2 linked regions of the Lepisosteus oculatus genome follow. The protein of the gene in region 1 purifies or fractionates together with the protein of each later gene. This does not show direct contact. Links are inferred from orthologs where the notes say so. Each region holds a gene or a part of one and is shown in the gene's direction. Other genes may lie near its edges.

The links. Proteins that work in one complex are often made in the same cells at the same time.
Region 2: the proteins of strap (region 1) and tgfbr1b purify together in Homo sapiens (affinity purification with western blotting; 3 studies listed by BioGRID and IntAct, with this or other methods). This does not show direct contact. The link is inferred for Lepisosteus oculatus from reciprocal best matches to the Homo sapiens genes STRAP and TGFBR1.

Annotation. Positions count from the first base shown.
Region 1 is NC_090702.1:51,134,198-51,141,718, reverse strand, and holds the start of strap (serine-threonine kinase receptor-associated protein), read left to right. Parts: upstream 1-4,508; 5' UTR 4,509-4,737; intron 4,738-4,859; 5' UTR 4,860-4,979; coding exon 4,980-5,091; intron 5,092-7,095; coding exon 7,096-7,231; intron 7,232-7,521. Other genes in the region: etnk1 (ethanolamine kinase 1), read right to left, coding at 314-460. UniProt on the Homo sapiens protein: The SMN complex catalyzes the assembly of small nuclear ribonucleoproteins (snRNPs), the building blocks of the spliceosome, and thereby plays an important role in the splicing of cellular pre-mRNAs.
Region 2 is NC_090701.1:24,416,551-24,424,216, reverse strand, and holds the start of tgfbr1b (TGF-beta receptor type-1b), read left to right. Parts: upstream 1-4,662; 5' UTR 4,663-4,717; coding exon 4,718-4,787; intron 4,788-7,666. UniProt on the Homo sapiens protein: Transmembrane serine/threonine kinase forming with the TGF-beta type II serine/threonine kinase receptor, TGFBR2, the non-promiscuous receptor for the TGF-beta cytokines TGFB1, TGFB2 and TGFB3.

The DNA of each region.
Region 1 (7,521 bases):
CTGCACGGGGCGAAGGAGGCTGCACCCCCCCGTGCAGTGTGCAGTGTGCGCAGTGTGCAGTGCAGTAATTTAGGGGAAAGCCCCCCCCCCAGGACACGCACGCCAGCAGACACGGAGGCCTCTCCGACCGCCCTTCCCCATCTGCGGCTGGCGTCGCCCCGGCAGTCTCGGCTTTCATTGAATTTCTCTAAAACGTCCGGCATCCTTTCAAAACCCTGCAGCGGGTCACTGCCCCCCCCAAACCACGGTTTCGCTTAATAAAAAAAAAACCCGCGCACATCCTTCATTTCGCGTACGAAATTGAGAAATATACCTTCATCTTGACATCTGTCTCTTTCCAGTGGGGTCTCAGTTCCTTGATAAGTTTCTGGGCTCCAGCTCTGAAATCGTGCTCGTCTACTGTGACATCTAATTTGGGGACTGCTGGGGCTCCCGCAGGGACGTGGATGTAGTCGGCCATGATCACGAGTACGGTTTTTTTTTTCCCCCTCACTTTTATTAACGGCTGTCAAAGAAAAGACACGTTTCAATGGGCTGTAGACGAGCTCCCGCGCGTGCCTTCGCAGTTAGAATCGCCTCAGCTGGTTCTGCTTCTTAGAACGTTCCAACCCCTCGTAAAGCAACCCGCGCGCGTTGCATGCTGGTCCCGGGGTGAGTCACAGCATCAGGTGAGGCGTTGCCTCATTGTGACAAGGTTGCCGCGACTGTGACGTTTTTCTGCCGGCAGTGTACTGTGTGCGGGCGGCGTCGGGTATTTCAAGTGAAGTTGCTGGATTTTTGTTTTTTATGTTTTAGTTTTGTTTCATTGGAATACGTAATAAACACTCCCCCGTGCATGGCGATACGCAGTAATAAGGCCCAAAGCTCATTTGCTCTGCAGTCCGCATTTATTTTCCTAGTCGTGTGTAACACTTTGAATTGGCAGGGACCTGGGCTGCTCCAAGCCAAGAGCTTTCAAAACCCCGGCAGCCTTTTGGAAAGAGGAGATCTAATTTTAGCAGGCAATTAATCAGCTACCACACATCGTGCTGGTTTTATGCGAAAGAAGGTGTTAAAAAAAAACACCGGCTGATGAGCAACTTCGTAGAAGTTGTTATTAGTTACATAGTATTCCAGAATGGGAAGAGAGTTCTAGAACATGCTGGATATAACCGGGTGCGACGCTCCCTTCTTCAAACGGCGTCATCACATGCACTCACACCCACTCTTGCTCTCTGTTAAAAAAACAAGGTATGATCATCCTGAGGTAGAGAGAGTTTGTATTATCGCCAAGGGACAATTGATTTGAAGGTTAAAGAATAATTTTACGGTAGACCTATAGAATGTGGGTTACAAGCAGTGATTTTACTATGGTCTTCTGACAAAATCGAGTGCTTATTTGCAAAATTCCGGTTCTGCCCGTGTGAATACAGACATATTAGACAGATGCTGTGTTAAAACTATGATTCATGTCTGCAGTAACACTAATCTTTTTTTGAGCTGCAGCATCATTGTGAAATACTGTTTTATGACAATAATGAACTATAATGTTCACGCCTTCAAGGCACAAAAATTAGAATTCTGTGTTACGAAATTCTTCATCAGAGGCGCAGGACACAGTCTTGTGCAGATTCAGTTTTATTGAGCGCAAGAAGTACACAACGTGCGCTGGTTGTGCCCCGCAGAACAGACAAACTGCAAGGGTTTCCCAGCTCTTATATACAGTCAGGAGAAAGTTCGTTTCACAATCTGAGTGCTTGTGCTTTTCTTTGATATGTAATTACTACTTGTCTTGCCCTAGGTTCTGTCCTTTGATATGCAGCAGATATTGGTCTGGTTTATCCTGTTTGTGGGTGTTGTTTCTGTCTTTTATTATGTAGCTGTAAGCCACTGGGGCTGCTAAAGCAAGTCAGCTTTATGGCATCTTAGTGTAACTTTTGGCTAAATTAACAGACCCCATCAACAGCTCTCACAATGTGCTTAAGTGGTGATACTGTGATGCTGGATAAGTGAGATATATACATGTCCTACTGCACTAATACATACAGATGCATGTGCTTTGTAGTTAAATTAGAGCCAAGGACAAAACTGTTAAAAGCAGAAAAAGTACCAACCAAATAAAAATGTAATATTCATTGTTAGAATTGTTTATTTATTCTGAAGGTTATAGAGACCAAATAAGCAGTGAAGCTAATGAGGAATGCTGTCTAACGCACAGCTTCTATTACATAAACTGTCTGAGTTGTGACTTACAGCCTTTTTGCTACCATTTGTATTGTGTTCCTTTTCAGACACAGTGTTTGTAACAGCATGTTTGTCTTAAACATTGTGAATATACAGTAGTCTGGCGTTACTCACAGCTATCTTATATACAGACAACGGTCTGCTAAACAAGTCACAGATTGTGTTCATTGCGACACTACTGTATTTTTACTCTGAATGGTCAAGTTAGAATTTATGACAGCGAGACCTCATTTGGCCCAAACAGTATGTTCATTTAGGGGTTCCTTATTTCTGGCCTGGCTGTTTTGTGAACAAGGAGAGGCTTTAGTCTCAAAACACTTCTTTTTGTTTGTGTTAGAGTAATACTGTTAAATAACAATGATGAACTGGAAAGCATTACATTATTAAAATAAAAAATAGGAATCTTCTTCTATGCATACACAAAATGCTCAACATGATCTCAGAGAGGTTTAGAGTGGGGAATGTGCCGAAGTGTGAGCTACAAAGGAACAAGAAGACGTAAGTCTATACTGTAAGGTAAAAAGAAAGAAAACCCCTGTTTCGGTCCTGGAGACTCTTCAGGTGTGTGTTGAACTGAATGAGAGAGCAGGGAGATGAGGTGAGGGGTGGGGTAGAAAGGACAAAAGGAAAAAACAACAACACAGAACTTAGAAACTGTTACACCAGGAAGAGATCAGAAGTCAAGATGAGCTTTTGAACATGTTTCACTCCTGCAGGTGGTATGGTGCCACAGTGGTTAACATTGGTGGCTCACAGTGCTTGGGGCCTTGGGTTCAATTCAATTCAAGGGGGTGCTGTCTGCATTTAGTTTTTATATTGTCTCTTTGTTCATGTCCTCCAACTGTCCAAGAACATATTACCAGGCTAACTGGCTTCTATCTGTGTGGGCCCTGCGATGGACAGGCATCTTGTCCAGGAGGTATCCTGCCTTGCACCTGTTGCTTACCAGAATAGGGCAGGGCTCCCCCATGACAGTATCAGATAAACTGGCTAGAAATTGGATGGATGGATGTTTCACACTGTTTTTTCCGGCACTCAATGTATAACTAATGTTTTTCTAAATCTCTTTATTTGCTGATTGCAGTTTCCCACACTTCCCCTGGCCTTTGCCAACCAGATTTCCATCTCTTTAGCTCCCCTGTCACATCTCTCTTAACCATTTTCACTGTATATATTTCCTTCCCTGCTCCATGGGAGGAAATTCTGCAGGGTTTTATGAAGAGCAGCTGCAGTAAGATTTGAAATTAAATCATTGCAAGGAGATTTTACGCTTCATCTTTGGGCCACTAGTTAAGTGGCATTAAATAATAAACAAAAAAAACACTCTACAGTCAAGAAACCAACAGGAAACGAGAAACTAGCACCTAGTTTAGATATAACCTCATGGTTGCTTGTGTAAGGTTTATTCATTTATTTTGCACCTGCTTTTGCTATCTCAACAAGCAAGATTTTACAGTTTTGTCTACATATTTTGATGTCTCTACAAGGACAGCAGTATTTGACTAGCTGTGATAATGCCTGTACTGTACAGAGTTATTGCCTAGTTATTCCATGTTCTGAGATTCAGTTTCCTCTCAAAGGCTCTGTATAAAATAACGTTTATTAACCAATCTGGGTCATCTAGTCACTTTCATGACACAATTAAATGTGTGTATGGATATTTCTTATGTATTAAAAATGTTGCTGATTATGATTTGAGGTAACTCAGATATGCATGTTTATTTTTTCTTTGTACTGTATACTTGTATATATCTATTTCTTAACGTTTTCTATAAATCTAGGTAAAATACATGTCTGAGAAACTTTAATCAACACTCTCCTTCAAACTCCCACAAAACGTTTCAGACGAGAAGAGGCCACTGGGTCCTATTTAACTCGTTGGGTAGTTATTAGCTTTTGGATCCAAGACTCTCATCCAGAAATTACTTGCACTTCCTAAGTGGCCCCTCTGCCTTATCTCTCTCCCCTCTCCCTCCTCCACTTTCCCAGCTTTTGTTCTCCGGTGCTATTTAATCTTTGTCGTCTACCATGTCTTTCTCACACCTGAAGAGGGCTTCAGACCCCGTTACCTGTTACCTGAAACACGTCAGCCACATGGCCGAACGCTGACCGTAGTGATGTACTAGATCTAGGGGTCTATAAAGTGAAATCATGCAGCTGGAAAAGCCGCTTTACAATCAAACACTTGAAATGAAAGAGCGAGAAGAGGCGTTCATGCTCCTCTGCTATCGGCTCCCCCGTTTCCACACGGAGCGTTATGGCTGTTCTGTTCCCTTCCGGCGGCTGCGGCCATGCGTCACCCTCTCTCCTCTGGCACATCCTGTTAATTTTCTCTTGCTCCCCGTCTGTTTCGTTCCTAGCTCCCCTCCCGCACCGGTCGCCTACGGTAGCCGGCGGCACAGCGTTGTCCGCAGGGCGAACGCTTTCACCCCCACCCCACCCCAGTCCCGGGATCCGACCGTCCTTACCGGCTCCAAACTCCTCTCCCCTGGGCAGCCCTCGCACGGCGTACCGGTGAGTGTCCGCTCGGGGCAAAAACACACAGACACACAGCACCAGCTTGAGGCGTGTTTCATACAAAAACTACAAACTGGCGTTGAATAATTTGCTTTGTTTTATTGTTTTTTTTTTTTCAGATACCAGGCCTTTCTGCTCCTTCTCGTCTCTCTCTCTCTCTCCCCCCGTCGCTGACCGTATTTGTGCAGTTTTTCTCTCCCTCCCTGCCCTTGGTGCGGGACTGATTTGCGAGGAGCGTTATGGCTATGAGGCAGACACCGCTTACTTGCTCTGGGCACACACGGCCTGTGGTTGACTTGGCTTTCAGCGGAATAACCCCTTATGGATATTTCCTGATAAGTGCGTGCAAAGGTAAGGTATCTCTAAGACATAATATTGGCGTCGCTCACGGTGTCCAACCAAGAGCGATCTGCAGCCTGAATCTTTTTTTTTCTTATCAGTCATCAGCGCAGGTATGCGCTGAATGAAAAAAAAAAAACTTAATCTTCGTTTCCACGGTGTTAAATGTGTAAATGTTGGAAACTTGATATCCCGACTGTCCTGACGGTGAAGGCTCCGGAGACTAAAATAATTTAAAAAATCTAAAAAGTGAAGGTGGAACATTCTTAAAAGAGATTCTTAACATGCAACACGTGTTTTTTTGTGTCCATATATACATATATAACATTAAGGCTTTATAAGAATGTATAAGAAATGAATTAACTTGAAGCGTGGTACCTGTTGACCAAAATGAATGTCCTCTGAATAACGTGAAGAGACAGAAAAAATGACCATGTGACATCATTGCAGCGAAGTGTAAAAACCCTGCAGTGACAGTGGACTGTAGCAGGGCACCTGGATTATTTCATGTTGAGTTGAGTTGGTTAGACTGTGCTTGATCTCGGGAGAGACAGCATGACTAAAAGACTACCTGCAAGGGGGTGTAATTTAGAGAAGGAATGTGATTTGAGTAGAGGTTTATGGAAGTTGCTTTCCCTTCATCAAGCAGGTGCTGACGCAGTCTGATGTGGATTATATTTATGTGTATTATTGTGTTTTTTGTGTGTGCTCCAGTCACTGAATTCTGCTCAATCACAGAGTGCAGTAGATTCTAAGTTAGGTCACTCTCTTTAGCCTTTAGCCATGATCGGCACCCTCATCAAACAGTGATCAGTTTGTCTTGTTGGGTGAGTTGTTGCCTGCTGCCATTGTTCTCTTCATGATTATGACAATGTCACATACAATTGTTTGTGCTCTGTCCTGTTTCTTTCTCTTTTTTGTGTCTTGTAAACTGGCACACATCTTTCCAGGGGCCCTGGGACACCTTTCTGCGTTGCCTTTTCTATTAAGGGTCTGGGTTTCCTCAGGCACGCATTTTAAACAGGAAGCACACATTGGCCATACTTTATCTCGCAAATTTGCTGTTTGTGTCATCCAGTTACAGATTAAAATTTCTGCTTGTCGTATTAATAAATGGACCGCTTTACAAAAGAAGTAAATGGCATTTATGCAAGAACAACACTCCCTATCCTTGGGAAGGGAGCACGTGTATTTAGATACATGTAGGGGTATGTGTAAAAATACTTCAATGCTGACGTACTGTTCCAAAAAGAATATATATATATACACACACCCCAGTATAGTGATGGGGACTCTACTGTAAAAAAACAAAAGGCACCATCCTTTGGATGAGACTAAAACTAAGGTCCTGATCCTCTGTGGTCATTAAAAATCCCGGGGTGCTTCTTGAAAAGAGCAGAGGTGTTACCCTGGTGTCCTGGCCAAAGTTCCCCCTGGCCTTTACCCGTCGTGGCCTCCTAATAACCCCCATCTCTGAACTGGCTTCATCACTCTGCTCTCCTCCCCATTGAGAGCTGGTGTGTGGGGAGCAGACTGGCTCACTTTGCCTCCAGTTCTATCATGCAGGTGGAGCTACACACTGGTGGTGGAGGAGGAGATCCCCATTGCCTGTAAAGCGCTTTGAGTGGGGTGTCCAGAAAAGAGCTATATGGGTTTAAGGATGATTTAGATTATTATTATTATTATTAAAGGTGAGCTGTGTGTTTTTGTGTTGTTTTTTTTTGCGACTGAAATGCTCTGCATCTCCAAATGAAATATCCCACACTGAAGGATCCTACACTTTCTTGGGAAACAGCTGACAGTGCCTCCCCTGGGCAAGGGATTTGAGCATCACACAAAATCAGACCGTTAATCTCTTCAGGTTCGTGCAGAGGCATGGAAGGCTGTTTTCTGGGCCGGCTGGTGACCTGCGAAACGTGTCACTTTGCCGTCTGCAGAATCTTTCCCACGCTCTCGAAGCGTTGACCTTTTGCTCGGTCCTAACTGTGTGTGTGTGTTCTGTGCTCCTCCCACCAGATGGCAAACCTATGTTGCGCCAGGGGGACACAGGGGACTGGATTGGAACGTTTCTGGGTCACAAGGGTGCTGTCTGGGGGGCCACCTTGAACAAAGAAGCCACCAAGGCGGCCACTGCTGCGGCCGACTTCACCGCGTGAGTACGGCTTCGCCGCCGCCGTGGGGACTGCGCTGCGGGACAGAGGCGCTGCTCGCCGGGTGGCGCTCGGTGCTCGGTCCGCTCCCACCGTGTCAAAGACACCGTCCAGAACGTTTATCTTCGTGCATTCAGAAGATGTCCCGAGAAACGCGAGCCGCGCGCTGTAGATCTGAGGTTGAGGGTCCGTTCCCCTGACAGATCAGCTGAAGGGGTCCAGTGATGGAGCGTTTGCTCGACAGTGCGACTGGCTAGTGTAGATGGAGATCCTGACGGTAGATCAGTTGACA
Region 2 (7,666 bases), on another chromosome or scaffold:
GGGCAGTTATGTTTTCCTGATATTTTGGTTCATAAAATATTCAAATATCAAAGTGAACACATGTGCCTTTAGATTCATTCTAAATCAATCTGAAGTCTTGTAAGCTGTCTGTAAGTCTGTAAGTTGTAAGTTCTGGTTATTAAGATAATTAGCTCCTTATGTGGGCCATGTAACAGCTGCAAGTCACCATTTTCTCTGTGGCCATCCCGGCATGCTTGATTTTTTATTATCATACAACTTGGGGGAAAGAAGGGACAATGCAATCACAGACAGAGCAGAGATCAAAGCCTTTGCCTGCCTCTGTCTTTTAATCTTCCCTCAATTGATTTCTACTTCACAAACCCTGCTTCATGACAAATGATAACGACTATCATGTCAAAATCATATAAAGCTGTCGACTGCTTTATCTTATCATAAACCAACTATATATTTATTGAATTTAATTTTGTATGCATATAATACTATTCATTTTTACTTACAAAATATTATATCAGCTATATCAGAGAAGATATTTATTTGGTAGCTTTATTTGGAAATTTTATGAAGAGTCTCAGTGGAGAACTTGTGCCACAAGACACGAGCCTGCTCTCATGAGGGGAAGAGAAAACAATTGATGCAGTCTTTGAGAGGAGAGCTGCAAAACAAGCGTATTGACCAGATGATGGCAAAGCCCGAGGTCCTACTGAGCACTGAAGAGAAGAAAAAGGCTAAGAGAAGAGTGATCCAGATAGGACCTGAGGGGAAGAACTCCCTGGCTGTGGATTGGGATATAACCCAGAATAAGAGTAAGAAGAAAATGGTGGATTTGAATGCTGCTTCAAGAGTGCAGTAAGCGGACTAATGTGCTAAAAGAGAAACGTGAGGCCCTGCGGCCTAAACAGCAGCAAGAATACTGAAAACATAGATGGCTGTTTGCTGTCTGTTCTGTACCTTACATTGAGTGTGAGATGAAGTAACTGAAGGGATAAGGGCAACTCTGAGCGGTAACGACAACCTCCAGGAGAGACCAGAAAAAGCCAGGCAAGAGATGACTTCCCTCACCAAACTCCAGACTAGACTGAAGGACAGGGAGCCTGGGATAGAAAGCCTTCAAGCCCAAATCAGACAGGCAACTGCTGGTCTTTGTCAAACAGGTGCATGATCTTGAGACCAAGCTGGAGGATGAGTGGAAGCAGAGAGACATGGCAGCTGTCGCAGGGAAAAAGCTGGAGGGAGACTTCAAAGAAGTCAAGTGTCACATAAAGACTGCAAATCATGATCAGGACAAGGCTATCAAAACAGGTGCACAAGCTCCAGGCCCAGATGAAGGACTTCCAAAGGGAGATGGGAGATGCCCGCATTGTCGGGGAGAAAGTGCTGACCGCAGTCAAGGAGAGCGAGGAGAAGGCCAAGAGCCTAGAGGCTGAGCTAATGCAGTTACAGGAGGACCTGACAGCAGCAGAGCAAGCATGCAAGCAGATTGAGGCTGACAAGTAAAAACAGGCTGGAGAGCTGGCCAGCAACATTTTGGGAAACTCAGCACTGGCAGATGTGAAGTGGCATTTGGAAGCCAAAGCCTCCAATGGAGGAACTGTAAGAGAAGCAGAGCAGCATGGCAAGGAGAAAGGCTGAGCAGCATGCATAACAGCTAAACAATGAGCTGGAAAAGAGGAGGCCCTAAACCTTTTTCACAAAACTAACAACAGAAGCAGGTGTGGTGGGCAAAGATGGATGACTTTCAGAGCCAGATTGAAACGGCCAAATTAGAAAATGAGAAGCCAAGGGTGCAGTTAGCATTAATGCAGCAGCAACTAAGTAAATCATAGCAATAGATGAAGGACAGAGAAGCAGTGGAGATTTGAAGGGAGGTTACAGTCTTACCCGAATCAAGCCAGAGTAGAGCCGAAGACCACTCAGGAGTAACTGATCCAGGAGAGGGAGAGAGTCAAGATACCGCAGGGACATTTACAAGCCACATGAATGAATGGGCAAGTATGAGGAAAAAGACAAGCCTTTTTCAGAGAATTGCCAGTCCAAGACAGAGGGTGTCACCCATTGGACAAAGAAGCTACTAAGTTTCAGAGGTGAGGGAGAAGGAGCTCTCATCACCAGTGCTAGAGATTGATACGGAGGTCTCTTTGGGTGGAACGTTCAGAAGTACATGTAGATGTCCTGTGTCCTGATGATGACTGTGAGAGAACAAGTGAAAGTGGCTTGAACCTGAGGACAGGCAGCCAAATAAAGCAGAAGACGTGGAACTTCCAGATCGTCCAACAGAGAAAGAAACAGAGTTGCTAGAGAACCATAGACCTGCGCTAGAAGAGAGGGAGAGGTCGCCTGACCGACAACTAATTGAAATGGAAGAACAACGGTTGCAACCCCCAATGAAAGGGGTATTGAAGACTTTTGAGTACCCGGATGGGAGAGTACATGTGGAGCTACCAAGAGAGATGGCTGCCTCTTGAAGAACAAGAGCTGGAAAACCATAGGGTACATGATCCAGGGGAAAGAAAGTATGTCCCTCCCACCCTCCCCATTCACTTCAAAATCCAGGGGGATGTAGCCTTGGAATTGGCTGGTAATCTGTCGTCCAATGGCCTTCCTTATGAGGAGGGAGCATATGGGGTCCTCCTGTTGGGACCACATGAGCTGCTGCTCTCCATCACCTAGCCAGTTGCTGAAAAACAATTGGTCAGGTGACTGTTTAAAAAGCACGAAGAAGAAGCTTCCTGGGTCAGTTAGACAGGGATGTCTGCCGTCTGAAGGCCAGAAGGCAGATCCTCTGTGAGCTATTGACAGGAGGGAGAAAGACAGGCCATGGACTCAAGGAACTAGTGAGTTCTAAGAGTATTGTCAACATTCTTTATGAAATGAAATCCTTAAATGGTAAAGAGTCTCAGAGAGACTTTTCTAATTTGGCAATTTTATGAAGAGTCTCAGTGAGACTGTTTTAACATTTTTTTGTTTGAGGCTCTTAAGCAGTTTAACTCCTTGGCTTGGGTAATTAGGGACACTGAGAAGAAGTTTAGAAAGAAGCTCAAAAAAGTGCTTAGGCTTTTGTTTTGTTGTTTTTGATTTTCCCTACATCATGAAATAAAGCTCACTGGTGTCTTGTACCTTACAGCTGTGTCTGTTTGCCTTGACCCACCTGCTTGTTAAGATTCTGTTATGACACCCAACAGCTTGTCGCCAATTTTAATCAATCAATTTAATTAATCAAACAGAAAATATTTTAATCTCAGTTCTGACCTTATCTTTGAACTTGGATTTAAATTTCAGAGGCATACATAGTAATGCTGACAATACACCTGTTAATGCACATTAAAGATAGAACATATCTTTGGCAGATCATAAAAGAGGTCACTTCAATTGGCACTGGCAACATGGTTTAAATAAAAGACTTTTAAAAAGTTTGTACATGTAGTCATAAAGACAACAGCAGGCGTTAAATGTGTATCTTTTATAAAGAATCTGCATGAAATTGCAGACTCAAGTCCCTGTAAGACGAAACCGTGTGTTTTTAATTAGTTTTTGGGTCACTACTTCTACCACAATGCCTACGTAAGAAATGTTTGCAATCTGGTTTACAAGTCTACAAGTTAGGCACCTACAGTATGTTTGACAAAGCAGAGTATTCTGATTACTTGGTCTCAATATCTTGGACTGTAGGCCTTCCCTGGTGAGTCAGAATCGCTCATCTTCTTTTTGGCCAAATAACAAAACGGCTACAGCACAGTGTCAACGGTGTAACTACTACTGCTAAATCAAACAACGTGAATTTAAAGGATACACGCGATCATACAGAACTTTTATAAACGAGGAATAATGGTCTGGTAGAGGACGTCTCTAATGGGAATTTATTCCTTTCACTAAATGGATAATCGCATCCTCTTTACAATTAAGCAGATATGGATGAAGAAGTAATTTCAGCACTTCTGTTTACCAGATACAGACATCGTTTTTTTGCAGCAGTATATTTAATAAATAAGTCAGGTCTAGTTTACTGGTAAAGATTAAGTGATTACTCTTACGGGACTCAAATATTTTGCCAACCTGCGTTTCTAAGTGAATAAAACCGGAGAGCAAATTACATTTTTGAAAGTGTACATTTTAACTGGAAGACCTATCTGACCCCTATCCGTTTTAATGATATACGTTATTAATTCCTTTACTGACTGTTAAGAAAACGTCATTACTTGAGAGGGAATGTTTTTCTTTTACGATTTTGCTGTGCACTTTCACGGTAGAAGCAGTGAAGGAGTAAACAGTGGAACGGGGCTCAGAGAGCTGTACGGTGAATCATGAGGCCAGCTGGGGGAACCATGACCAAGCACAGTGACATGCATGATATAGAGAGAATACGTGCAAAATGCTATGCTTATCTAAGGAAGTAAATTCTCATAAGATATTAGACCTAAGTGCGTAGCCTGCTTAATCAAAAATAAAACAGTAATTCTGAACAATGTACAGCCTACGTTTCCCAGACAGGTTTAACGTTCATGTTGCTTAGCTGTAGCCCGAATTAATATAATGCCTATATCACTTGTCCGCGCCCTAGCACACTGCGCTAGGCGCTCGCAGCCGAGTGTTGACTTGCGGCTCCGCTATGTGTGTTGGCTGGTAAGAGCTGGGCGGGGTGCGGCGTCCTTGCCAGCCAATCAGGGACGCGATTTCCCCCAGCCAAGACAGCCGAAGTTGTGTGCGAGAGACGGCCAGTCTGGAGTAAATCTGAAACACAATGGATGCAGTTCGTTGTTGTTTAACATTCGTAGTCCTGCTCTTAGGGACTGGAGTACAGGAGACCGAAGGTAAGCGAGAGAGGGGGTGTGGTGCTCCTTTTTAAAAATCCTCAATTTGGATATTTCTTTTCTTCGGATTGAGTCTGGCGCGGGGTTCTCATGCCCGCTGTTGCTCTTTTGTTTCAAGACTCGTCTGCCCCGAAAGACTCTTGTCAAAGATGGCGCAGGTCAGAGAGAGCCGCGCTGTCAGGAATGTGTATTGTTAAGAGTGATTTCCTGACAAGGTAGAAAAAAAAATCAGGAGGGAAAGAGATCGAAAAGTCAGTAGCACGCCTGACGGGCCTGAGTAGAAAGCTACACGGCAAAGCGAGATTCACAGTGGCAAATTCATGTGCAGTCCGATGTGGAGTAGCGGTGAATTGATATTCCCTGGTCGGCAAATGTCCTGAGCTGGAGTCGAGTCGCTGTGTTTGTACTTCTCGGCCTTAATGATAATAGGTCTCTCGACACGTCGGACACTGACCCTGTCCACCGATGGGGCACAGCCAAGGCCTTCTCGCTTCCACAGTCCGGCATTTTTTTCTACTTTGATTGCAAGGAAAAACGCACTATTTACGTGTGTACATATTAGCATATGGTAAATGATTGTTTAGAAGCAGGGTTCTTTTTGAGAAATGCATATTTTGACTCTTTGAAATGCAGCTGAACTCATAAACACGTTGCCTGAACCCAGGCTTATTTACAATTGACATGCTACTGGTTAGCTGTTTTCTGTTGTCTTGTAGCTAACTGTGTAGTTGAATGTTTTGTGACAGGAGTTAGGAGATAAAAGAAACGCCTAATCCGTGCCTTTTGAAGTATCGGGTTTCGGGGTGCCTTGTCATTAACGAAATGTAAAATAAACCTTCTTTGTTTACGTTTCACCTTAAACACCTTGACGTAAAAGGTATATTGTTAGCACGAATCGAACTGTGGTTTGAAAGACCTAAAAAAGGACGGGTGTTGCTGTTGTGATATTTCGGTGTCACCAGCGTGTGATGGGAACAGACACAAAGACTTTGATGTTGTCACGACAGGCTTGCCCTGTAAACCACTGTAGTGCTATTGTTATTAATTGTAATAATCTCTGTGAACGAAAGAAACGGGAAAATATAACCTGTAGGCCTGCACGCCTTTTAAGGTGTCGCTCATGGAATAATTGTCTGGAGAAACAAACCACATGTGCTATGTCCCAGATTTTCAAGTGAACAGAAAGCAGTTTTTGTTTTACCGCAAACGTGTGTTTAGACGCGTCGTGCCACTGGTCTTTGATGTGCTTCAGATATGACTCCAGTGGTGGTAAAAAGTTCCTGCTCCCTTTTGATAACAGCTTTGGTTTTAATTGGGGGCTGCTTGCTGTCACCTGTGGTAATGGAAGAGAATTAAAACATTGAGATGCGTTGCGGGATTCTTTCTAATGGAATTGGGGCTTGTGACCGGTGAAACAGGATTTCCTTGCACAGTCGATGCGCGGATGAAATTAAGCTATCAGATTTGCATGACAATGTGCCGAAATCGACGCCCCGAAGCTCATAGCACAGCAGCTGAAGGAATAGTGTACTGAAATGAAATCTGAGCGTTTTAAAACTGTTTTGCAGAAACCAGTTGTGTTGTACAGTGTTTTCTTAGAATTAATTTCTCCAGATTTTTTCGTGTGGAGTTGAGTTATCAAACCTTGTAGTCCGATCCCTATAAATTTATCTCCAGTTTTTGAAGTGTTCAAGAGTAGTGAAGAATTATTTGTTATAACAGGTTGGTGCAGTGTTAAGCCCTATTATTTATGTGGTTTAGACAGACTTTAGGCCATTTTGCTTTTTGAAAACGTTTTTTGAAAATACCCTTAGCTATTACTGAAGAAGTCATTAATTTATCGGTATACATAACTTAACCTGCCTCTGTCCATATCGCCTATATTTGATATGTTGTGCACATACAAGATTTCAAGCCACTGGAGTTCTACAATTTAAGTCTTGTATGGCACCAGGCCTTCAGGTTCTATAGCTGTGTTTGACTATTGAAGAACAATCCCAGTTTGGTGAAATTTGACCAGATTAGACAATATATATTTTTTGTTTTTACCTTATAGCTCTCCTGGACCAGGGTGGGAAGTTCAGGTTCTAAATCACTAGTTACAGTGCAACAGTGGTTATTACCATTTAAGCTCTTTAATTGAGCCAGTTGAATTATTAAAGACATGGATAAACACAGACGTTAACCCAGTGGATCTTCAAGACTAGGACTAGCTACTGTTCTGCTGGAGCTTTGCAAGGATTTACGTAGGACTGTTTCCCAGTTCTCGTTCTGTTTGATGTCATTGACCGAGTACCTTTTCGTTTTTCTTAAAGAGTGGCTAGACGGTTACATACACACTTTGGCAGTGTGTTTATTTGTCTTCCATTTCCAGCTTGCTGGTGTTCAGTAGTGAGAGTAAAACTCGGGTTTCAGTCAAGTTGACATATGATGCTGCTTTAGCAAATAAAGTAATACGTGAGTCATAAGCATCTGTAGACTGTTCTGTTTGCATGAAAATGAAAATAAAAAAATAAAATCTAAATATAGTTAAAAGAGTAATTATTCATGTTCTCATGGAGTTGAGTGGGGAGTGGGGGGGAAGGAAGGTTAAAACCGTTACTGGTTTTGCAAGCTTGTTTTGTACGTGGTAAATACAGTAGCTCAGCCTTTTGGCTAGTAGAATCCAGAGCATTCAAAGATTTGTATGACCCTGAACTGCCTGTTGTCCAAGCTTAAGGAACCAAAACTAATTTGAAAAGTTGTATATATGCCAGTTGTAATTGGATTCAAAGGCATTGATGCATTCAAACAGCCCTGCTTCAGTCAGATTGAGAACTGGGCTGTGAATCTGGCTTGTTAAAGTTAATACACAGTTTAGTTTCCTTGAGGGATTAGAT